Linked DNA regions of Anolis sagrei. Each later gene encodes a partner of the first gene's protein in a complex. Links are inferred from orthologs where the notes say so. Each region holds a gene or a part of one and is shown in the gene's direction. Other genes may lie near its edges. The genes, in order: NRXN1, LRRTM2 and CASK.

Region 1 (7,504 bases):
CCTGGCTCCACCTTGTTGGTATAGTGATAAGGTCTCTAGGACAGTCCACCCTCAGAAAATCTAAAAATATATTTTTACTCTCCAACAGGAGGTATTTTGTAGAACCAATTGGTTTTGCTAAGTGAAGCCCAATCTGCCACATAATACTTCAATTTAAGGAATAGACAATTAAAATTATTTAATTGTCTGGATCTGAAGTAGGATTATTTGGACCCAGTGCAGTCTGGCTTTAGACTGGGACATGGAACTGAAACAGCCTTGGTCACCTTAGTAGATGATTCGCGTAGGGAACTTGACAGGGGGAGTCTGCCCCTGTTTGTTCTCCTGGGCCTCTCAATGGCCTTCAGTACCATAGACCATGGTATCCTTCTGGGACACTTTGCAGGAATGGGTTTCAGAGGTACTGTTTTCCAGTGGCTCTGGTCCTTCCTGGGATGTTGCTCCCAGAAAGTGTTGTTGGGGAACACCTGCTCAGCCCTGCAATCATTGTCCTGTGGGGTCCCTCAGGGTTCAATACTGCCCCCCATGTTTTTAACATCTATGTGAAGCCACTGGAAGAGATAATCCAGAGTTGTGAAGTTTGGTATCAGCTGTATGCAGATGATGTTCAAATCTATCACTCCTTTCCACCTGCTGCTCAAGTCCTGAACCGGTGCTTGGTGGCTGTGACAGTCTGGATGTGGGCAAACAAATTGAAATTGAATCCAGACAAGAGAGAGGTACTCCTGGTCAGTCATAAGGGCAAACAGGGTATAGGATTACAGCTTGTGCTGGATGGGGTTACACTCCCCATGAAGGCACAGTTCTCCAGCTTGGGAGTGATCCTGGACTCATACCTGACCCTGGAATCCTAGGTTTTGGCAGTGGCCAGGGGAGCATTTGCACAATTAAAACTTGTGCCCATACCTTGGGAAGTCATACTTGACCATGGTTGTCCACACTCTTGTTTCATCCTGTATAAACTACTGCAATGCACTTTACGTGGGGTTGACTTTGAAGACTATATGGAAGATTCAATTGGTTCAACAGGCAGCAGCCAAGTTGCTCAACAGAGTGGCGTACAGCTCCACTGGCTGCCAGTCTGCTACCGAGTACAATTCAAATTGCTGTCATTTGTCTAAAAAGCCCTAAACACTTCCAGCCCAGCTTACCTGTCTGAACATATCTCCCCCTATGAACCACCTCAGAGATTAAGATTATCTGGGGATGCCCTGCTTTTGGTCCCATCTTCCTCACAGGCATGACTGGTCGGGATGAGAGACAGGGCCTTCTCAATGGTGGCCCCTCAGTGGTGGAACTCCCTCCCCAGTGATATTAGATTAGTCCCCTCCCTCCTGGCCTTCAGAAGGAAAGTGAAGACGTGGCTTTTGGATCAAGCTTTCAGAGACTGCCTTCAGTACAGTAGATGAACTGATGGATACGGATTATGTGCAATGATTACTGGAATGGCCCCAGACTATGATTATGGATCATGTGGTTTTGATAGTTATTATAATGTTTTAAAATATTTGAATGTATATTAATTTTAATTTTTAATTTAAATGTTTATTTTAATTATATATTGTGTCAAGGCAATGGATACTTGCCTATATGTAAAGCCACCTTGAGTCCCATTCAGGGCTGAGAAAGGTGGGATAGAAATACTGCAAATAAATAAATAAATAAATAAATAAATAAAATCTCTTGGTGCCAGCGCGCAGTCTGTTCAGTGCCTTCCAAGTTGCCCAGTCTTCTGTGTGCCCAGGAGGGAGTCTCTCATTTCGTATCAGCCATGGATTCAGGTGCTGGGTTTTAGGCTGCCACTTTTGGACTTTTACTTGCTGAAGTGTTCCTGCAAGTATCTCTGTAGATCTTAGAAAACTATTTCTTGATTTAAGGCATTGGCATGCTGGCTGACATCCAAACAGGGGATGGGCCAGACATGTCACTGCCTTGGTCCTTTCATTATTGGCTGCTACTTCCAGTGGATGTCAGGTAGTGCAATACCAGCTAGACAGTGTATTTTTTTTCCAGTGGTGTAGGGCACACACAGCCAGTGATAATGTGGCATGTCACATTAAGAACCACATCCACTGTTTTAGCATGGTGAGATGTGTTCTAAACTGGGCTTGCTTACTCAGCAGCAGAGTAGCAAAGCACAAGTGCAAAGTTGTAGTTGAACAAGGTTTTTAGCCTTCTCTGACTAAGAGTGCTGCTGCCTCACCAAACTACAGCTCACCGTGCCTAAACAGTGCATGTGGCTCTTAATGAGACATGCTGCATTATCACAGGGTTGTCTGCACCCTACACCACTGGAGAAATTACACTGTTTAGCCGGTATTGCACTACTTGACATCCACCGGGAAGTAGCAACCAATAGTGAAAGGACCAAGGCAGTGACATCTCTGGCCTATCCCCTATTTGGATATCAGCCAGCATGCCAACAACTTAAATCAAGAAATAGTTTTCTAAGATCTACAGAGACACTCGCTGGAACACCTCAGCAAGCGAGAGTCCAAAAGTGGCAGGACCTATTCCAATTCTGGGCACCACAATTCAAGAGAGATATTGACAAGCTGGAATGTGTCCAGAGGAGGGCGACTAAAATGATCAAGGGTCTGGAGAACAAGCCCTATGAGGAGCGGCTTAAGGAGCTGGGCATGTTTAGCCTGAAGAAGAGAAGGCTGAGAGGAGATATGATAGCCATGTATAAATATGTGAGAGGAAGCCACAGGGAGGAGGGAGCAAGCTTGTTTTCTGCTTCCTTGGAGACTAGGACGCAGAACAATGGCTTCAAACTACAAGAGAGGAGATTCCATATGAACACGAGGAAGAACTTCCTGACTGTGAGAGCCGTTCAGCAGTGGAACTCTCTGCATCGGAGTGTGGTGGAAGCTCCTTCTTTGGAAGCTTTTAAACAGAGGCTGGATGGGCATCTGTCAGGGGTGATTTGAATGCAATATTCCTGCTTCTTGGCAGGGGGTTGGACTGGATGGCCCATGAGGTCTCTTCCAACCCTTTGATTCTATGATCCTATGAAAACCCAGCACCACAATCAATGGCTGATACCAAATGAGAGACTCCCCCCTGGGCACACAGAAAACTGGGCAACTTGGAAGGCACTGAACAGAGTGCACTCTGGCACCACGAGATGCAGAGTGAACCTTCAGAAATAGGGCTACAAAGTGGAATCCACGACATGCGAATGTGGAGAAGAGCAAACCACTGACCACCTGCTGCAATGCAACCTGAGCCCTGCCACATGCACAATGGAGGACCTTCTTGCAGCAACACCAGAGGCACTCCAAGTGGCCAACTACTGGTCGAAGGACATTTAATAGAATACCAAGTTTGCAAACTCTGTGTTTCGTTTGTTTGTTTTTAATGTAATACAACTATTTGGTTCACTCTTGACACGATAAATAAATAAATAAGCTCCCAAAATGCAATACCATTAAGCCTTGGCAGTCAAAGTAGTATCACAACGTATTTATTCTGCACCCCAAAGCACCTAGAAGAAACTGGGGAGGTTTCTGGCAGCAGGTTGAGTTAGACGAAGAGGAGGGAAAGAGACCTCTCCAAGGTGCTGATCCCTTTCCCCTCCCTCCAAGGCTTCAGCACCTTGGACAGTTCCGCGGCAGATTGCCTGCTCCATAGGGAGCCACCAAGTAATGCTGGGTTCGGGGAGGGGCCACGTTGAGGAGGAGGAGGAGGAGAACACCTTTCCCTTCCGGATCAAAGGGGCTGCCGTATACATTAGACACCCTTTCCTGACACGTGTTCCCACGCACGTGTGTACGGCGAGGCCCTAAGATGCTGGGAAAGGCAAGGAGAGTTTGTGTCTGTGTTCAGCACCCTTAGCATATTCTTGGAATCTCTTGTGTCGTTCTAAAAAAAGAGGGGGGGGGAAGAAAGGGGGGAAAGATGGGGAAGTTGGACCTATTTGCACAAACAAAGCAAGAAGAGGTGAAGGACATTTTCTGCTTTTTGCAGGGAAGGGAAAAGAGAAGAGAGAGAGAGAGAGAGAGAGAGAGAGAAGGAAGGAAGGAAACCATTTCTTATTTTTCCTCGCCACACCTGCAGCGCCAGAGCAGCATCCTTGGATCCCAGAGAGAGAATGAAAAAGAGGGGGGGGGGGGGTGTTTAGAAAGAGAATCACGTCACCAGCTTTGAAGGGAGGGGTCAGAGTGGGCTCAATGTGGGGCAGAAAAGGGAGGAAAGGATAACCCACGGCCCAGGTTGTCTCCCAAGCGGGTTCCTTCTCCCTGCTTTCCTTCCTCCTCATCCGGCTGGGAGGGAGGCTGTGGCCCAGGGCGAGGTGGCCGTCCAGGCTGCGGCTGTAGCCCGCCCGGCTCCGCCTTCCTCTTGCAGACAGGCAGCGCCCGACGCGCGTCACGTGGGGATCCGCCAGCCCTCCTTTCCCTCCCTCGTCTCCGCCCTGACTCTTGGAATGAGAGGGAGAGGGAGAGGAGACCCAGCCTGACGCTGCTGAAAAGGCAACGGATGGCACTTTCCCCCCCGCCCGCCCTCCTCCTCCTCCTCCTCCGCCTTCCTCCTCTTCCTCCTCCTCCTCCTCCTCCTTCCTCCTCCTCCTCCTCCCCTGCCCGCCTCCTCCTTCTCCCGAGGAGCGAAGGGGCCGCCCGCTTTGGCCGAGGCAGGTCTCCCGGAGAGCCGCGCTTCCAGGCGAACAGGAGGAGAGGCAAAGCGGCCGCGCAGGTAAAGAGGCGGCTTGGGGAGGGGACAGGTGAGAGGAAGCAGGGAGGAGGGTGGGGAGGGGGAGGGCAGAGACCCCTTCAGCTGGACCGAAAAGGGGGGGGGGGCGCCTCTCAAGGATGCGCCAAGGGAGGTGGGTCGGCTTCTTGCTGGCATTTTCCAAGGAGGGATGTGCCAGGAGATCTGTTGGGATTTCTGAGCGATTGGGAGGTCTGTTGCGGAGGGAGGAGGACCTGAATCTGGCTGCCACTGCTTCAACATTCAGGCTTGGGGAGGGAAGAGGAATCCGCTCTCCCAATGTCCCCTCTCCATTTTAGGGGAGAGGGAAAGGATGGTGGCGAAGTGGATACTATATGGTGTTTCATTAAAGACAGATAGATGGGGAACGGCGTTGAGCAGAACCCCTTCCTCCTCCCCTTCTCCTTCCTCTCTTAACTGCTCTGAATCCCTCCTGATGATGCCTCATTTTTGGGGAAGGTTTGAATACCAGGCTGAAATGCAACCGCTGCTCTTTTTCTGCTCTCTTGGGGTAGAAGAGGGACAATAAACAAGCCAAGCACACGCTCTCCTCCTTCTTCTCATCCCCTCTTTTTTTAAAAAGCACCAAACCCCCTGCAGAAAAGCAAAGGGGAGCAATTGATGCTGGAAATAGGAATCCAGGAGAGCCAGGAAGGGGGAGGGGGCGCTAAACAACCATAAATAAATAAGTGGAAGGCTGCTGGTGTCAAGGAATCGCTTTGGAATCAAAGCACTTCGCTCTCCGGCTGCAGCAAAAAGGTTGTCTGTGGTGGGTTTTTCCCCTTTCCCCCTGTTCCCTCCCATTATTAGTATTTTTTTTTATTTCAAGCTGTAATTTGTATGTTCTCCGGGTCTTTCCCGCATCGGGAGAAAATCCTATGGAGACTAGAGAGGGATGCTGCCAAAACTGGGCAGTCGACAAAACGAGCTGCTCTTTATGAAGGGTTGGTTGTCTTCGAGGTCCATCCACACATCCACCTTGTTTTCTCCTCTCTTCCTTTCCTTCTCCCTCGTTACTCCGCCCTGGTTTAATAGCTCAGCAGGGGCACCTGTGACCAAAACGTGATTTTAATAACAATAACAGTAATGATAGGTAAGCTAGTCTTGGAATAAGGTATTGGCGTCTGGTTTCCCCTCGTATTAAACAGGGAAGAGTTTAGTATTTCTCTGAAAACCACACACACACACACACACACACACACATATATATGTATGTATGTATCCCAGATCCCTTTGAAAGCATGCATGGCAAATCACCAGTCCACCTTCCCTGATGGATCAGCTTCACTTGTTTTGCCAATGGCTAGACAGTGGGTGCTGTTTATCATTGTATCAGCCATAATAAATTAGCAAGAGGGTTTTAAAAATGTATTTTTCCCATTTCCGTGGTTCTTGTGGCGTGTGTGGGTCTGTGTGCATGAGAGGAGGAAGAGAGAAAGGGGAGGGGGCGAGAGAAAGGGGGTGGCCATGATGTTGTCTAAGGAGGATCTTGTAGAGGGATCCCCCTAATCTCAGTGGCTCTCCCAGCTGACACTTGTAGGGGCACATCTGCCATCCACTCCTCCCTTTTGACTTGTGTGTTTTGTATGCCTCTGTGCATGGAAGCAAAGAAAGCACATATAACCTTGGAGAGATCTTGGCTTTCTATAAGGCAGAATAAGTGAACACTTTCCCTCTGCAAAGGTGGATCCCCCATTTTTGTCTGGCCAATCTTCAGCTATATCTTTTGAAATCTAAACATGTATTATCAAAATATTTCATGGCTGGAATCACTGGGTTGTTGAGTTTTCTGTGCTCTATGGCCATGTTCCAGAAGCATTCTCTCCTGACATTTTGCCTGCCTCAATGGCAGACAGTCCAGACCTCACAACCTCTGAGGATGCCTGCTACAGATGCAGATGAACCGTCAGGAAACATGAAACATGGCCATACAGCCCAGAATACTCACAACAACCCAAAATCTAAACACATTATCCCCATATAACACACACACACATAAGAAAAGGTGCTCACAGCTCACCTGATACCAACTAAAGACTATTTTTGTGATAATAACAAATAAAACAACCAGAATGCTTTGGCACTGAGCACACAACTCCCGCAGCCCCAAAGCCTTTCACAATAAATCTACAATGCACAGGCACAGAGCAGCAGCAGCAGCAGCAGCAGCAGCAACAACAACAACAACAACAACAACACACCTCTCATCAAAGCCATACAGGTTCTGAGTGAGGAAGTTTCCCAAAAACACTGTCAAGACCTCTTCCCTCCATTCCATGCACAACAAATGTCATCAAGGTATCTGTTTTCCAATATGGACCTTCTGCTTACACACAGTTCAATTTTATAACCCTCTTTTTTTGCAAACCTGCAAAATAATGGAAATCACCTCCCTGAAACAAGAATATCCACACACACATCTCTCTTTCCGATATGCTGAATCCATATCCTGCAAATCTGAGACACAATGACCCCCAGACATTCATTACGACACCTGCTGTAATTAGTTCCATGCTTAATGAGGATACACTTCTACTATACCCTGCACTGCTTTCAACACCATTTCTCTCACCTTTGTCTGTTCCATGCAGAAACACACAGAGAGCAACACAATCCTATCCATCCCTGCAGTTCACCTGCCCAGCAACACAACACTTTCCAGAGTCCTTTATCATGCTTGCAGACACACACCCATCTATATGGAAACACCCACAAATGCCAGCACCATCTTGACATTTGTCTTAGGCACCAGGATTACAGACACCCTTACCATGATCCTCTTTTACATACACAC
Region 2 (7,874 bases), about 120 Mb from region 1:
CCAGATCAATAGAGGTGGGTTCTGCAATGCAACAGAATAATAAGACTGCTTATGTTGTTATCTTGGCATGAGAGGAGGTGATGTAGCGTCACTACATAAAAGCCCTGTGCCAGCCACATGTGGGTGTGAAATGCATGGGAAATAGATGGAATGGCAGCACTCAGGAAGCATCCTAGGTACTGGTAGCATGCCAAGGTGGCAATGTTGTACTGAAAAGACATCTGTTGAATAAGTAACAAAACAAGCAGAATATACGAATGCACAGAAATAAGGACTAGGGGGAATATGCTTTAATAGTAAGTGTGCAAGTGTGCCTGCTTTCATTGTTTATTGTATCTGACTGTAACATGAACATGTAGCAAACTGTTTTACTATACCATTCGGTAAAACACTCTTGATAAAACGTCTGCCTTTGGGAATTTGAACACTCTACCTATACCTCAAAGCCTTGCCTTAATGGCTATTTTACCCCTCCACTGTATTTGAGAGCGTTCAAGGGATGAAGAGTACTAGGGCTCTACTCTCATCCAGAAATAGGATGTATGTGCACATAGGCATTAGCAAACAGACTCATGGCCCTGCTTGATTTACAACATTTCTGACTTGTCCACTATAAAACAATTTGTGAGATTACAATATTGGCAAAAAATTGAAGATGTTACAGTAGAATCATAGATACTGCTGATTAAATGGTGTGTTGCACCAATATGCTTTATGGATTTGTATAGATCGTGAAATAAAATATGTATATCCCTATCCCAACTGAAACACAGAAATGATTGAGCCTACAGAGATATAAAATGGGCTCCTATTTCCATATTTATTTGACCCTTTTCTTTATGCAGGATCTAGGGCTAAATGTATAAAGGGTTGCTAAAATATGAAATAAAGAGGGATCAAGTAAAATACTGTACTATCATATGGGCTCAAAATCCCCAGTTCAAAATATTGCCACACAAATTCAAATGAAACAATGGAAGGTATGGATGAAAGAGATAACACTGCTTTGAGTAGTGATTTCTAAGACTTCTTTGTTGTCAAATAAGGGCAGTTCTACCAAATATTGGAAATACAAGGACAATTTTGGGGCATTTAATCTCATGTAGTGAGAAAGGCCCAGAAATGTTGAAATACCTTGTCAAGGTTAAATGTAAAACGTTGGGAATACAGGATACTCGTTCAAAAAGAAAAATTAGAGGAGAATGTTACAATATATGACAACTGCTGTAAGAATGGTATATTCTCAGAAGTGGGAGGAAAAAAGCTTTACCAATGCAAGAATACCCAGATGAAAATCTGTGAAACAGAAATGAACAAATTGACTATTTATTTATTTATTTATTTATCGTGTCATCAGCAACCATACCATTGTATTATTGAGGCACAATTGAAGGATAAATCTTTGACTAAGTTCAAGAAAGACTGTGACCTGCTGGCTAGCTTTTTACAACAATGCTAATTGAGGCATTTATCGACTTAGGGATTCATGAATGAGTAGAGTGTCATTTTAAGTAAAAGTATAATTAACATTATTGTTTAAAGGGAGCAGACTATTAAGGGATAACAACCATCAGGCAGAGAGTAGGTAATTTGCAGGGTTTTTTAAATAGTTGCTTAATTGTAAAGTATGTTGTTTTGTATATAGTGAGATTTTCCCCCCAGACAATATAGACCTAAGCCATACAGGGCTTTAAAGGCCATAATGAACACTTTGAATTTTGTCCCGAAACAAACAGATAACCAATGAAGCCATTACAATGGGGATGGGGCATAATATATTTCCTGTAACCAGCCGTAGTCAACAGCTAAGCTACAAAACTTTTGACCTGTTAATATTTTTGAACAGTTTCTAGAGGCAGTCCCACACAGAATATGGTACAGTAATCCAACGGGGATGTAAGATATGTATAACCATAACCATATCATTTGCTTCAAGGCTTTGTATACAACCACTCAACTAGAAACACACATTTATGGCTGTATTAAAATGCTCCTCCACAAAGGAACTATTTCACTAGATTAAGACATTTTAGAGGAGGTAACAACTCAATTCCTCAAAAAATAGAAACAGCTTTGAGCAAGAACAAAGAACAAGTTCCTACATTCCTCTACAGCAGTAGGTCTCAACCTGTGGGTTCCCATATGTTTCGGCCTTCAGCTCCCAGAAATCCTAACAGCTGGTAAACTTGCTGGGATTTCTGGGAGTTGTAGGCCAGAACACCTGGGGACCCACAGGTTGAGAACCACTGCTCTACAGGAAGGAAGCGTATCTACTTCCTTACCTGTTACCCATCAGTACAGAATAATAGAAGTACACTCATTTAGCCAATACTTGTTTTGGGAAAGAATCTAGCCTATAAGCAATATTAGAATTGAATAAAGGCCTATTATCTATCCTAAACACATAAACTCTTTACATGCATGTCAACATGAGCATACTACTCCTCTAAACCTAAGTGAATATATAGTTTGATGAGTGCAGTAGCAGATGTACAATGCAGAAGTAGAGTAGCCATTTTCTTTATTCATTTGTTATCTTAAATGGATACACAGGATCTGCTCATATGATATACCAGACACACAAAAACACACACAACCATGTTTATCCCAGTCTTGTATATAAAAAGTTTTTTTTAATGTCTGGTGTCTTTTGTCTACTAGTCTAATGGCCACTGGCAGCAGAATAATGACTCCAGTAGCAGGCCACAACAACTCTATGAGGAGCACCGTCTGCTTGTATGTATCCTAGTTTTAGAGGGACAAAGCCTCCATCAACTCATTCATCTGCATATAATTCTTTATCAGGCAAGTATTTAAACTTGGGAGTCGAATAAGGTCCCTCATCTGAAACCTTGAATATGTCAGGGAAGAAATGCACAGTACAGTACAACCTCTACATACGCATGTCCCAACTTAAGAGTGTTTTGAGTTAAGGGTTATCATTCGGCCTGGGCTTTGCTTTGACATAAAGGTAGCATTTTGAGTTAAGAGCTAGTGCCAGAGGGAGCACTTTTTTGTGTCAAGAGTGACTTGAGAAACTGCAAGTCGCTTCTGGTGTGAGAGAATTGGCAGTCTGCAAGGATGTTGCCGAGGGGACACTCAGATGTTTTACCATACTATGGGAGGCTTCTCTCATGTCCCCACATGGGAAGCTGGAGCTGACAGACGGGATTCGAACCACTGACCTTTGAGTCAGCTGTCCTATCGGCACAATCATTGCACCACTGGGGGCGCAAGTGTGAGAGTACAGGGCATTAGGGCTTCAAGAGAGTAGTCTCTGTGCCTTGTGCTCTCGTCAGCTTTGGGAGATTGCTGTTTGCTTTGCTCTTGTTCGCTTTGAGGAACTTTGGGTTAACTGATTTTGTGTGGTTTTTATTCCTGGTATGTTTGGCTTGATGAAGAGAGGGAGGGAGGCTCCCTCTCTACACCACCCTAACGATTTAACAAGACTTGAACATTCATGGATTTTGGTAACCTAGAACCACATTCCTATGGATACCAAAGACGCACTGTATTATGTGAAAGGAAATAAACAATTGCTCTAGAACATTGTAATCATGACAACTGGTCTTAGAAACCTTTTAGAAGAGGTACCATCATCTCATAGTTGTACTTGGATTGTAGTTTTAATTGAAAATGTAATTGAAGGAGATGACCTATGTTCATTAATATTCAACTGATTTCACTGGTGTTAATTACACCACAGACCTCAAAATATTTAAATAATATTAACTTATATTTTCCGAACATATATACTTTAACCAAAAATTGTTTCTGAATCCTGCTACAGCCCATTTTTATTTTAAACACTTTAGGATATCAAACTGAATTGGCAAAGGGCCAAAACAAGTGCCAGGAATGGCAAGGAAGGAAATGATTTCTACTACTCCATGCATCACTAAGAAATCTGACTTTGAATGAATCTACCAGTATTTGAACTGCAAGTACTCCAACAGCGAACATTATTTGCTTTATAGCTTAAATATGAATTCTTCTGATTTACTCCTTTTGTCTCTTTTATTAATATTTTCACAATGGAAGAATATGTATAACAAAGCCTTTTGAGTCATTTTTACGCCAGTTTTAAAAAATAGAAAGTAAAATATTTCTAGATGGAAATTTTAAGCTGTGTGTAGAACTGCAAGGAATCATTTGCATCAAAAAAAGGGAGTATACAATCTGACAATTGAACCGAACAAAGTCACACAACTAACATTTGCTTTGGTGGTGCAGTACAGATTAGATTACTTAAAAAAAACCAAAACCCTTAAATTGATCAGGAAGAGAAAATGTGTACCATCCCCATTCATTTACTTTCCCTATACATTTTTTCATCCTGTCTTTCACTGAATTACCTTTATCTATTTTCTAATCTGATTTGAACTATCAGATGTGGAAACAATAGAGCCCTGGCAGCAGTTTTAAAAAAGAGTTATAAAGTGAAAAACTACTGGTTAAAATGTTTGGATTTGATTTAATTTTTTTTCACAAGATGCTTAGCAAAACCATCTATCTATTGCCAGCAATCTCCCTCTTTTTAAACTAGAAATAAACTTTTATAGCAAGAAAGATCCCCTTTGAAGTTAAAATCCCACATGGCTCTGCCTGACAGGCTTTGTTAATTAGCAAACGAACCCCCCCCCCCCCCAAATATCAAGCAGAACATCGACAGGACAACTATGACAGAAAAATCTGTAATGTGGCTGGTTTTCAGAAATTCAGTTATACAATTCTAAGTTGTAAGAATGCAATCTGCAAGACAGACTCTTGCAAAGTCACTTCTATCCCTTGGATACCAAATGAAGAATTCTTAGTTAGGTTTTTCCTCTTAGTGGTAGTCTAATCTCACAATTCGCAGTATGCACCACAGTGCCTTAAACTGCAAAGCTTCTGGAAAACCCAAACAAAAAGGAACGTCACAAGATGACGTCAGCCTATATACAGTTGTGTGGTCGCAGCACATAAGCAAATGCGTTCCTGTATCGTATCCCTGAAAGCTTTTCAGCAAATGCATTCAAGCGACTATAGAAGCTTCTCTCAGCAATAAGCCACCCATCTGCCATCAACAAGTTACGACAAAAAAGCCATAGCTGTGGAAAACGCTTGCAGTTAAACAGCTGTACAGAACAAAAACAGAGAACTCCAGTTCAGCACTGATTCGGGAATTTGCAGAGCTGTCACTGAAAATCAAGGAAATGAATTCAAAAGGAATATATGACAATGGGATGTGAAGTCATTTTTACTCTTAATAGCGGAAGACAGTAGATGTAAATTATTCAAAGGCTGTCAACGTTAGAGCTTTTTACAGACTCACTGTGTTGAGTCTAAAACTACGACTGAATGAAACCTCCAACGTACTCAAAAGAATGGGTAAGTTTATACATTTTGATTTGCTGTATTATGTGCAGTCAATTTTACTTTAGAAAGAGGTAGAAATAGCATTTTAATGTTTTTTTTTTTAAAAATGCAACTAGGTAGTATTTGTCAATAATTGCAATAATTTAGACAAATTTCATAGCAGATTTATTTAAAGCGTAAAGACCTCAGCACATTAATGCATGTCATTACCTGCTGCAATCTTTTTTCCGTTTTTTATTGTGAGCATTTATCTGATAAGAATATCCTATTTTGTTGTTTCCTTGAACTATATTCTGCAGGCTTACATTTCAAGTGGCCATTAGGGACTCCTGTGCTGGCAGCAGTATATGCAATGAGTATTGTTTTTAAAATGCTGCCTGCCTTGGGCACGGCTTGTCCACCAAAATGCCGTTGTGAGAAGCTGCTCTTTTACTGTGACTCTCAGGGGTTTCACTCAGTGCCAAACACCACTGACAAGGGCTGTCTAGGTTTGTCATTGAGGCACAATTTTATTACGGAACTTGAAGGGGATCAGTTTGCAAGCTTCAGTCAACTTACTTGGCTTCATTTAGACCATAATCAAATTGATACAATAAGAGAAGATGGTTTTCAAGGACTGTATAAACTAAAGGAATTAATTTTAAGTTCAAACAAAATCTCTTATTTGCCAAACACAACTTTTAGCCAACTGCTTAACCTGCAACATTTGGACCTCTCTTCCAACCAATTATCTGCTTTGCATCCTGAATTGTTCTATGGCCTTCGCAAACTGCAAACCTTGAGTTTACGTTCCAATTCCCTGAGGACTATACCAGTCCGTCTATTTTCAGACTGTCGTAGTTTGGATTTTTTGGATCTGAGCACAAATCGTTTGCGAAGTTTGGCACGCAATGGATTTGCTGGATTAATCAAACTGAGGGAGCTTCACCTAGAGCACAACCAGCTGACAAAGATTAACTTTGCTCATTTCCTACGGCTAAGCAATCTGCACATGCTCTTCTTGCAGGGGAATAAAATTAGCAACTTGACTTGCGGGATGGAATGGACCTGGGTCACTCTAGAAAAGATAGATTTGTCTGGAAATGATCTCAAAGCCATTGATATGACAGTTTTTGAAATAATGCCTAATCTTAAAGTACTCCTAATGGATAACAACAAACTAATCACTCTGGAATCCAAGGTTTTATATTCACTTAAAACCCTCACTACGGTGGGCCTCTCCAGCAACCCTTGGGAATGCAGCCCCAAAATATGTTCATTAGCCACATGGCTGAGTGGCTTCCAAGGTCGGTGGGAGCACTCCATACTTTGTCATAGCCCAAACCACACCCAGGGAGAGGATATTCTAGATGCAGTGTATGGTTTTCAGCTTTGCTGGAATTTATCAACTGTTCTTACATCCATTGCTACAAGCTACAGAGCTCCAACGACTGAATATACAAAAAGGATAAGCTCCTCAAATTTCCATGTGGGAGACAAAGAAATTTCAACTACTACAGGCATACCTATTACGACAGAAGATCAGTTGCCTGAACCAAACAATGTCATCTTCACTCAGCAGGTAATTACAGGAACAATGGCTTTATTATTTTCTTTCTTTTTTATCATTTTTGTAGTGTTCATCTCCAGGAAGTGCTGCCCTCCCACATTAAGAAAAATTAGGCAGTGCTCAATGATTCAAAGCCACAGGCAACTGCGATCTCAAACACGGCTACATATGTCAAATATGTCAGACCAAGGACCATATAATGAATATGAACCCACCCATGAAGGACCTTTCATCATCATTAATGGTTATGGACAGTGCAAGTGTCAGCAACTACCCTATAAAGAATGTGAAGTGTAATATCTACAGGTAATCAAAAAACAAAAGCAGATAAAACTTATTTTAAATTGCAGGGATCCAAAACTATTAATTTTTTTAAAAAAAGAAATGTTGAAAAAGCCTAGATTTTTCTAGGCTACTTGTTTTGAGTGATGCAGTATTTAAAAGTGTTTTTCTTCTTAAATAACCCATAATATTTTCAATGTGAAATCAGCAATGTTTGCATTAAATTTGCACTCCTGATGTTTGGAAGTCTAAATATGCTCAACCCAAAATATGTAAACTGCTTCATGTTATGTAATTCTATGTGTAAGATTTTTACTCTGAAGCCTCCAGATTTGAGGTAGATGAATAGTCTGGATGAAATGGCGCTGTTAGGTATATTTACAGGTCTCCGTGAAGGAAGGACATTTGCCAAGTGATGCACTGTAGTTATGATCCCCAATATTTCAGTTGACTCAATTTTCTCTTAAGTGGAGATTTAACAGAAAAGGTTAAATTACATTTTCCCCCTTTCAAAAGCTGATTCTCAAATTTACGATATACAATAGTAAAGTTCAGCAGAGGGATTTTGCTATGTACCGAAGCATGGGGGGAAAAAACCCATATTGTTTTCTAAAATTCCACAGTGAGAATTCAGCTTATTGAAATTTGTTCTAGATCTAGAATATAGCTGTTGACACTTCTGAAT
Region 3 (7,819 bases), on another chromosome or scaffold:
GATGTTGTGGGATTTTTCTGCCTTGGTATTCTGGGATATAGGGTTGTGTGGAAGGGCCCCCAGTTCAAAGCAGATGTTGTGGGATTTTCTGCCTCGATATTCTGGGACATAGAGCTGTGTGGAAGGGCCTTTTGTCTAATATTATCAGTTGTTTCATATCCTGTTCATCCTTCAATGTGATATATGCCATCCCATGCCTGGAATACCCCCTCTTCATTTCCTGGCATAATCAGGACAGTCATTATGCATGTTTTTACTAAATGGCATCACCAAAACTGAGGTACACATTAGATTCAATGGAGTGTTAGAATCATACATGTAAATCCACCTGCGTGAAAAGGCCCAGAGAAAGCTAGAGCTCCAGAGTCTAGAAGGGGAGACTAAGGGCCCTTCCACACAGCCCTACATCCCAGAATATTAAGGCAGAAAATCCCACATTATCTGCTTTGAACTGGGTTATCTGAGTTCACACTCCGATAATGTGGGATTTTCTGCCTTGATATTCTGGGATATAGGGCTGTGTGGAAGGACTCTAAAAGGCTGTTCCTGGGGGTGGCCTCAGAGCTCCGTGGTGCCTGGAGAAGGATGTGCAGCCAAATAGTGACCCAGTCCCTTAGCCACAGAGCGGCTGTGCAGCTTTCAGGCCACTGTGGCCAAAGGAGAAGTAAGCAACCTGCTTCTCAAATTACCCTTGGAAGCTCTTGCCTGTTCCCCTGAGACTCAGCCCCACGTTTCCTAAATAGCCTCATTCCCAGGGCCTTCAAAACCTCCCCCTTGGTTTTGAAGGCCTTGAGAATGAGGCCGTTTGGGAACTGTGTGAGGCTGAAGAGTTCACCAGCCTTGGCCTGACAGAGACATAGCTTCCCAAATGGCCTCATTCATGCTGACTGCCTTCCTGACTCACTATGCCTTTACTGCTGGGTGCATTATATTCGACTGAAAATCATTGAGGTGTGCATTAAATTCGACGGCACATTATACTCAAGTAAATACAGTATATCTGATATTAGAAATGGAAACAATAAACTACAAAAATATACCAGTTGCAGAGCATTTCAACCTGCTTGGACAATTTGTGCAGTGCATAAAAACTAAAAGAAGCCTGGAAAGAGAAACCGCTGAATTTGTTGTTGTTTATTCGTTCAGTCATTTCCAACTCTTTGTGACCTCATGGACCAGCCCATGCCAGAGCTCCCTGTTGGCTGTCACCACCCCCAGCTCCTTCAAGGTCAATCCAGTCACTTCAAGGATGCCATCCATCCATCTTGCCCTTGGTCAGCCCCTCTTGCTTTTTCCTTCCATTTTTTCCAACATAATTGTCTTCTCTAAGCTTTCCTTTCTTCTCATGATGTGGCCAAAGTACTTCATCTTTGCCTCTACTATCCTTCTCTCCAATGGGCAGAACTGCTGAATTAGGATGTATCAATAAATTCCAAGCCATAAACAATGGTTTGTTGACACACTACATATATTAAAACATTACAGCTTTCATCACAGCCATACATATGCAAAGATACTCTCCTCACACCTGTTTTATGACAAGATTTTACAGGCCCTGCACACATACCAACTCACTAGGTAAAAGCCATTCCTCCGGTCTACATGTGTTTATCTGAGCAAAACCTGACTCCCAACTATGTCCTTTCAACTACTCATCACAATCATTGTTAAACCGGTAGTTGTCACCATTCCAACATGTTTTGCATTGACAGATATTGCTACTACATGTTTTGCATTTCCACTATCTTTTACATTCCTTCCATGTATTTTTGGTATACATGCCTGCCCAAACAGGGTTTATTATTTATTATTTATTTATTTATTCAGAACTTTTATATCCCAGTCTTCTCAACCTCCGCAGAGGAACTCAGGCCGGCTAACAGAAAATGCATACACAAGTAAACTAATAACATCATAACATCATAATACAGTAAAATAGCAACAGAATAAATACATAAAGCCAAATCGACAAGATAAAATCACATTCATCATAGTCCGCCAGTGTGGTCAGTAGTTATTAGGTTATTGTTGACGCCAATCATTCTGAGAATGCTTTGCCCCAGAGCCAGGATTTCACTAGCTTTCTGAAAGTCAGGAGGGAAGGGGCAGATCTAATCTCCATCAGGAGAGAGTTCCACAGCCAAGGGGCCACCACCGAGAAGACCCTGTCTCTCGTCCCCACCAGACACGATTGCAAAGGTGGTGGGACCGAGAGCAGGGCCCCTCCAGAAGATCTTAACAACCTTGATAGTTCGTAGGGGAGAATCCGTTCGGACAGGTAAACTGGGTCGTAGCCGTTTAGGGATTTATAAATCAAAACCAGCACTTTGAATTGCGCTTGGAAACTAATTGGCAGCCAATGGAGCTGACGCAACAGAGGAGTAGTGTACTCCCTGTACCACGCTCCTGTTAGTAATCTGGCTGCCGCTCTTTGGACTAATTGCAGCTTCCGGGCAGTCTTCAGAGGCAACTCCACGTAGAGAGCATTGCAGTAGTATATACGGGATGTTACCAGAGCGTGGACCACTGTGGCCAAGTCAGACTTCCCAAGGTACGGGCCCAGCTGGCGCACAAGTTTTAATTGTGCAAAAGCTCCCCTGACCACCACCGAGACCTGGGGTTCCAGGCTCAGCAATGAGTCCAGGATCACTCCCAAGCTGCAAATCTGCGCCTTCAGGGGGAGTGTAACCACGTCAAGCACAGGCTGGATGCACACTGTCAAGTATAGGCTGGATGCACACTGGATGCACACTGTCATATAATGCAGTTTGGAACTGCATTATATTGTCAGTGTAGATCAGGCAAGGGCAAACTTGGGCCCTCCAGGTGTTTTGGACTTCAACTCCCACCATTCCTCACAGCCTCAGGCCCTTTCCTTTGCCCCCTCAGCCGCTTATAGTCCAAAACACTATTTTATCGAGATTGGTCATTGCTCTCCTCCCAAGAAGCGTCTCCTGATTTCCTGGCTGCAGTCTGCGTCTGCAGTAATCTTTGCACTTAGAAATACAAAGTATGTCACAGCCTCCATGTTTTCTCCCTCTATTTGCCAGTTATCAATCAGTCCGGTTGCCATAATCTTGGTTTTTTTATGTTTAACTGCAACCAAGCCTTTGTACTTTCTTCTTTCACCTGGATTAGATAATATATTGTATATACATATAATATTTATAACACTATAATGTAATACAATATAATACTACTAATAATGCAATATTATAATTATATATTTTATATTACATGTAATATTACTAATAATATTACAATATAATGGTATAGTACAATATAGTAATATGTAACACTGATAGTGCTGTTTTAATAATATAACATATTGTTTGTGTGTGTGTGTGTGTGTGTGTATATATATATATATATATATATATATATATATCTTGTAAGCCGCTCTGAGTCCCCTTCAGGGTGAGAAGGGCGGCATATAAATGCAGTAAGTAAATAAATAAATGAATAATAAGGTTCTTGTGGGTTTTTTCAGGCTATATGGCCATGTTCTAGAGGCATTTCTCCTGACATTTCGCCTGCATCTATGGCAAGCATCCTCTGACCGCATCTTGGCCTATAAGCCCACGAGGACTTTGAGATCATCCGGGGAGGCCCTGCTCTCAATCTCGCCTGCCTCACAGGCACGCCTGGTGGGGACGAGAGATAGGGCCTTCTCGGTGGTGGCTCCTCGGCTGTGGAACACCCTTCCCGTGGACATCAGATTGGCCCCTTCCGATGATATTCCGCAGGAAATTAAAGACGTGGCTGTTCAAGAAGGCGTTCGAACAAGAAATCCAATAATTGGTAATGACGACAGGAATGGAACGACGGAATATAATACTGGATTGTGGTGTAACGATGAGATTATGCGAATGGCTTTTTGTATTATTGATATTGATGTTGTTGATGTTGTTGATGACGATGCTTTTGTTATTGCTGGATTGATTTTAGATTGTGTCTTGTAATTTGCACCCTGTCCTCTCTATGTTGTACACCGCTGTGAGTCGCCCCCGGGCTGAGAACAGCGCTATATAAGCACAGTAAATAAATAATAAATAAATAATAAATAGAACATGGCCATATAGCCCAATAAAAACCACAAGAACCTAGTGATTCCAGCCATGAAAGCCTTTGACAAAATGAATAATAGCCGTTTGACACCGCTCAGTGTCAATCTACTATGTGCAATATTTATTTACTTTATTTCTATACCGCTTTTCTCAGCCCTCAGGCGATTCAAATATGGCTATATCCAGAAAAGAAAAAAGGCTAAAGAGGAGAATGAGTTGTCGAAGGCTTTCATGGCCGGAATCACTGGGTTGCTGTAAGTTTTTCGAGCTGTATGGCCATGTTCCAGAAGCATTCTCTCCTGACGTTTCGCCTGCATCTATGGCAGGCATCCTCAGATTGTGAAGTCTGTCGGACACTAAAGAGGAGCTTCAACGCAATGCCTATGTGCCCTGCCGTTTCTCAGCCCCAGCATTGCCGCTAGTCTCTCCGACCGCAAGGAAAACCTTCTCCTTTTCCCTTTCCCCGTTCAAATGACGTCAACAACCCCCGCGCCTGCGCAGTACAAACTCTTCGCCGTTTCCCCGTGAGGGGAGTTGTGGGCGTGGCTTTGCTCGGAGCAGGGAGGAGGGAGGAGGAGGAAGGAAAAAAAAAAAGCCAGCTCTGCTCCCCTCCCCAACTTAGCCCTGAGCGCGAGAGCGCGCGTTCTAACGTAAAGGGAGGATGCGCGCGCATGCTTGGCTCTGGGCGGTTGCGTGACTGATAAGAAAGGTGTCGGCGGCCGCGGCGGTGACGCGCAGGCGCGCGCGCACGCACCCTGTCTCCCTCTGTGTTTCTCCCTTCATCAAACGGCGTTGGGGTGGCGCGTGGACGGAGCCGCGCCTTTCTCTTCGCCTGGGCGCGCGCTCTCTCTCTCTCTCTCTCGTTTCGAGGAGGGAGGGAGCGAGTGTGTGAGTGACTGAGGGAGGGAGTGAGTGTGTGTGTGTGTGTGTGTGTGGACAAGAAGCGGGGGAAGGGAGCGAATGAGGGGCTCGCTCTGCCTGCCTGCCTGCCGCGGTTTCATCCTCCGTCTCCATCCCCTCCATGGATTAATCCCCGGCGGCCAAAGGTGAGAAGAAGGAAGGCGAAGAAGAAGGAAGAAGACGACGACGCCGGGAATTGTGAGGGACACGCGGGGAAAGGCTGCGGCCCACCGCAAGGAGCGGCCACCGAGGGGGGCTTTTCCTAGCGCGGCCATTGGAGGATTTGGCCGGGATTTTAGCGCGGCGGCGGCGGCGGGGAGCGCGGAGGAGGAGGGGGAAGAGGAGGAGGGGGACCGTGCCCGCGGCCCCTCCCGCCCTGGGGCGGCTCGCCTCCCCCCCGCCGGACCATGGCCGACGACGATGTGCTCTTCGAGGACGTTTACGAGCTCTGCGAGGTGATCGGCAAGTAAGTAGCAGAGGCACCCATGGAGGGGAGATGGAGGAGGCAGCCGCGGAGGGAGGAGCGGCGGTGGGCTGCAAAGCCTCCTCCCCGACCGCGCGGGGGGAGGGGGGCAAGGAAGGAAGGATCCTCGGGAACCGCTCGGGGCTCTTCCCACCTGGGGAAAGGGAGCCCTCTCCTCTCTCCCCCCTCCTCCGGCCACCATGATTAAACGGGGCTCCTGCAGCAAAGCGGGGCTTCTCCTCCTCTCTCTCTCTCTCTCTCCTACAAGGTAGACAAGGCAGGGACGGGGTGTGTTTCTCCTCCTCGGCTCCCCTCCCCCTCGCTCTCCTTCCCTCCCTCCCTCCCTCCTACCAATGCCAGGTGCCTTCCTTGGGCGCTGCTGCATCATCAAACCGGCTCGTTAGCGGCGATATAAAGGACACTCAGGTAATACTCGGGTGCTTTTTTTCCCATCCCCACCGTGGATACATACACACTGTAGAGGTGACACACTTTGGGCCTTTCCACACAGCCATGTAACCCAGAACATCAAGGCAGAAAATCCCACAATATCTGCTTTGAACTAGGGGCCCTTCCACACAACCCTATATCCCAGAATATCTGTTTTGAACTGGGTTATCTGAGTACACACTCAGATAATGTGGGATTTTCTGCTTTGGTATTCTGGGATATAGGGCCATGTGGAAGGACCCTGGGTTATCTTGGGCCCTTTCCACACAACTGAATAAAATCCCACATCTCTCTGAGATATATGGCAGTGTGGACACAGGGACCTTCAACACAGCCCTATATCCAAGAATATCAAGGCAGAAAATCTCACAATATCTGCTTTGAACTGGGTTATCTGAGTCCACACTCAGATATTGTGGGATTTTTTTACCTTGATATTCTGGAATACAGGGCTTTGTGGAAGGGGCCTCAGATAACCCAGTTAAAGTATTCTGGGATTTTCTGCCTTGATATTCTGGATTATATGGCTATGTGGAAGGGCCCTGAGCCCACACTGCCATTTATTCCAGTTCAAAGCAGATAATGTGGGATTTTATTCAGCTATGTGGAAGCTCCCTTTGACACCACTTTAACTGTCATGGCAGAACGCTATGGAGTTGTGGGAGTTGTAGTTTGGCGAGTGACTAGAGAAGGCTAAAGACCTTGTAAGGTGACAACTCCCATAATTCCATAGCATCGAGCCATGGCTGTTAAAGTGTTGTCAAACTGCATCAGTTACACTATGCAGATGCACCCCCAGTTGGGATAAAGCTGGAAGGCCTTTCAAAGGCAACAACCACTTTTGCAGAAAACTAAAGTTGCAAGGGTGGTTGGCTGAACTGCCACTCAGGCTACCTGGAGTGTCCAGTTTGACAGGCGGTTTGAAAATGCCAGGCCAAGTGGTTTGTCTTGGAGAGGGAAACCAAATAAGCTTGGTAATTGAAGGAGATGAAAGCAGAGGTTTTTGTTTTTGTTTTTTGTCTTCCCCAATAACTGTATCATAGTGGGAGATCTGGGACTCTTTGTGCTAGAATAAAAATTGTAGTAGACATCTACTGTATCACTTTAGTAGCTGAATAACTTTACCTTGTATCCATCTGAAGATGTTTTGGCAGTTAAGTGAGTTTGTTGCCATTATGATTTTGTAAGGGCAAATAAATGTTAAGGAAAACATTTTTGGTTGTTTCTGCTATGATTGTTACATTCAGAATGAAAAATGACTTGTTACTGCAAGAGGGTGTATGAGAGAAATATTTTGTAGCAAGATTGTTGTAATATTTCTTCCAAAGATGTAATTTCATGTAGCTGAAGTTGGATACATGTGATCTTGTTAACATCCTTTGCCAAACTCCTGCTTTTAAAAATGCTTTATGTTTTTTGTGTTCCAGGTTCTTCCCAGTTTCAATCATTTTTAAAATTCTGGCTATTAGAGCAATGTTTGTATACATGGCAACATTTAGTCAGAATCATATCTACATCAGTAAGAAATTCCTATTGGTTTGTTTGGAAATATAATTATGTTGTTGGTCCCTACTATTGTTGGTAATACAGGGTCAATATCCTTTATATGAAATGCGTACAACTAGAAGTGTTTTGAATTTTTTATATTTTCAGATTTTGGAATATTTACAATTGTATATATTGTATGTACATGAGATATCCTGGAGATGAAATTCAAGTCTACACACAGAATTCATTTATATTTCATATATACCATGTTCACATAGCCTGAAGGTAACTTCAAACAATATTTTTAATAATGCTGTGCATGAAACTAAGTTTGTGTGCATAAAACCACCAGAACACAAAGATGTCACTTTTTCAGCCTTCCATGTGGACAATTTTGGATTTTTGGAATTCCATATAAGGAATGCAAAACTGGCAGTTTTCTTCTCTCTTC

Evidence for each region.
Region 2: the proteins of NRXN1 (region 1) and LRRTM2 are in contact, whole or in part, in a crystal structure (PDB 5Z8Y), measured with the Homo sapiens proteins. The link is inferred for Anolis sagrei from reciprocal best matches to the Homo sapiens genes NRXN1 and LRRTM2. Residues at the interface, in NP_001317021.1 of Homo sapiens: Leu139, Val158, Thr160, Arg236, Gln237, Leu238, Thr239, Ile240, Asn242; in NP_056379.1 of Homo sapiens: Asp343, His344, Gln346, Gly347, Glu348, Leu351, Asp352, Ala353, Gly356, Phe357.
Region 3: the proteins of NRXN1 (region 1) and CASK are in contact, whole or in part, in a crystal structure (PDB 6NID), measured with the Homo sapiens proteins. The link is inferred for Anolis sagrei from reciprocal best matches to the Homo sapiens genes NRXN1 and CASK. Residues at the interface, in NP_001317021.1 of Homo sapiens: Lys468, Glu469, Tyr470, Tyr471, Val472; in NP_001354650.1 of Homo sapiens: Pro500, Met501, Gly502, Ile503, Thr504, Leu505, Lys506, Ala516, Arg517, Val549, Gln553, Leu556.

The regions. Positions count from the first base shown.
Region 1 is NC_090021.1:18,711,127-18,718,630, forward strand, and holds the start of NRXN1 (neurexin-1), read left to right. Parts: upstream 1-4,422; 5' UTR 4,423-4,723; intron 4,724-7,504.
Region 2 is NC_090021.1:140,758,561-140,766,434, forward strand, and holds the start of LRRTM2 (leucine-rich repeat transmembrane neuronal protein 2), read left to right. Parts: upstream 1-4,861; 5' UTR 4,862-5,366; coding exon 5,367-5,370; intron 5,371-5,657; coding exon 5,658-7,204; 3' UTR 7,205-7,874. UniProt on the Homo sapiens protein: Involved in the development and maintenance of excitatory synapses in the vertebrate nervous system. Regulates surface expression of AMPA receptors and instructs the development of functional glutamate release sites.
Region 3 is NC_090023.1:77,990,832-77,998,650, forward strand, and holds the start of CASK (peripheral plasma membrane protein CASK), read left to right. Parts: upstream 1-4,753; 5' UTR 4,754-5,374; coding exon 5,375-5,433; intron 5,434-5,809; exon of another isoform or gene 5,810-5,856; intron 5,857-7,819. UniProt on the Homo sapiens protein: Multidomain scaffolding Mg(2+)-independent protein kinase that catalyzes the phosphotransfer from ATP to proteins such as NRXN1, and plays a role in synaptic transmembrane protein anchoring and ion channel trafficking.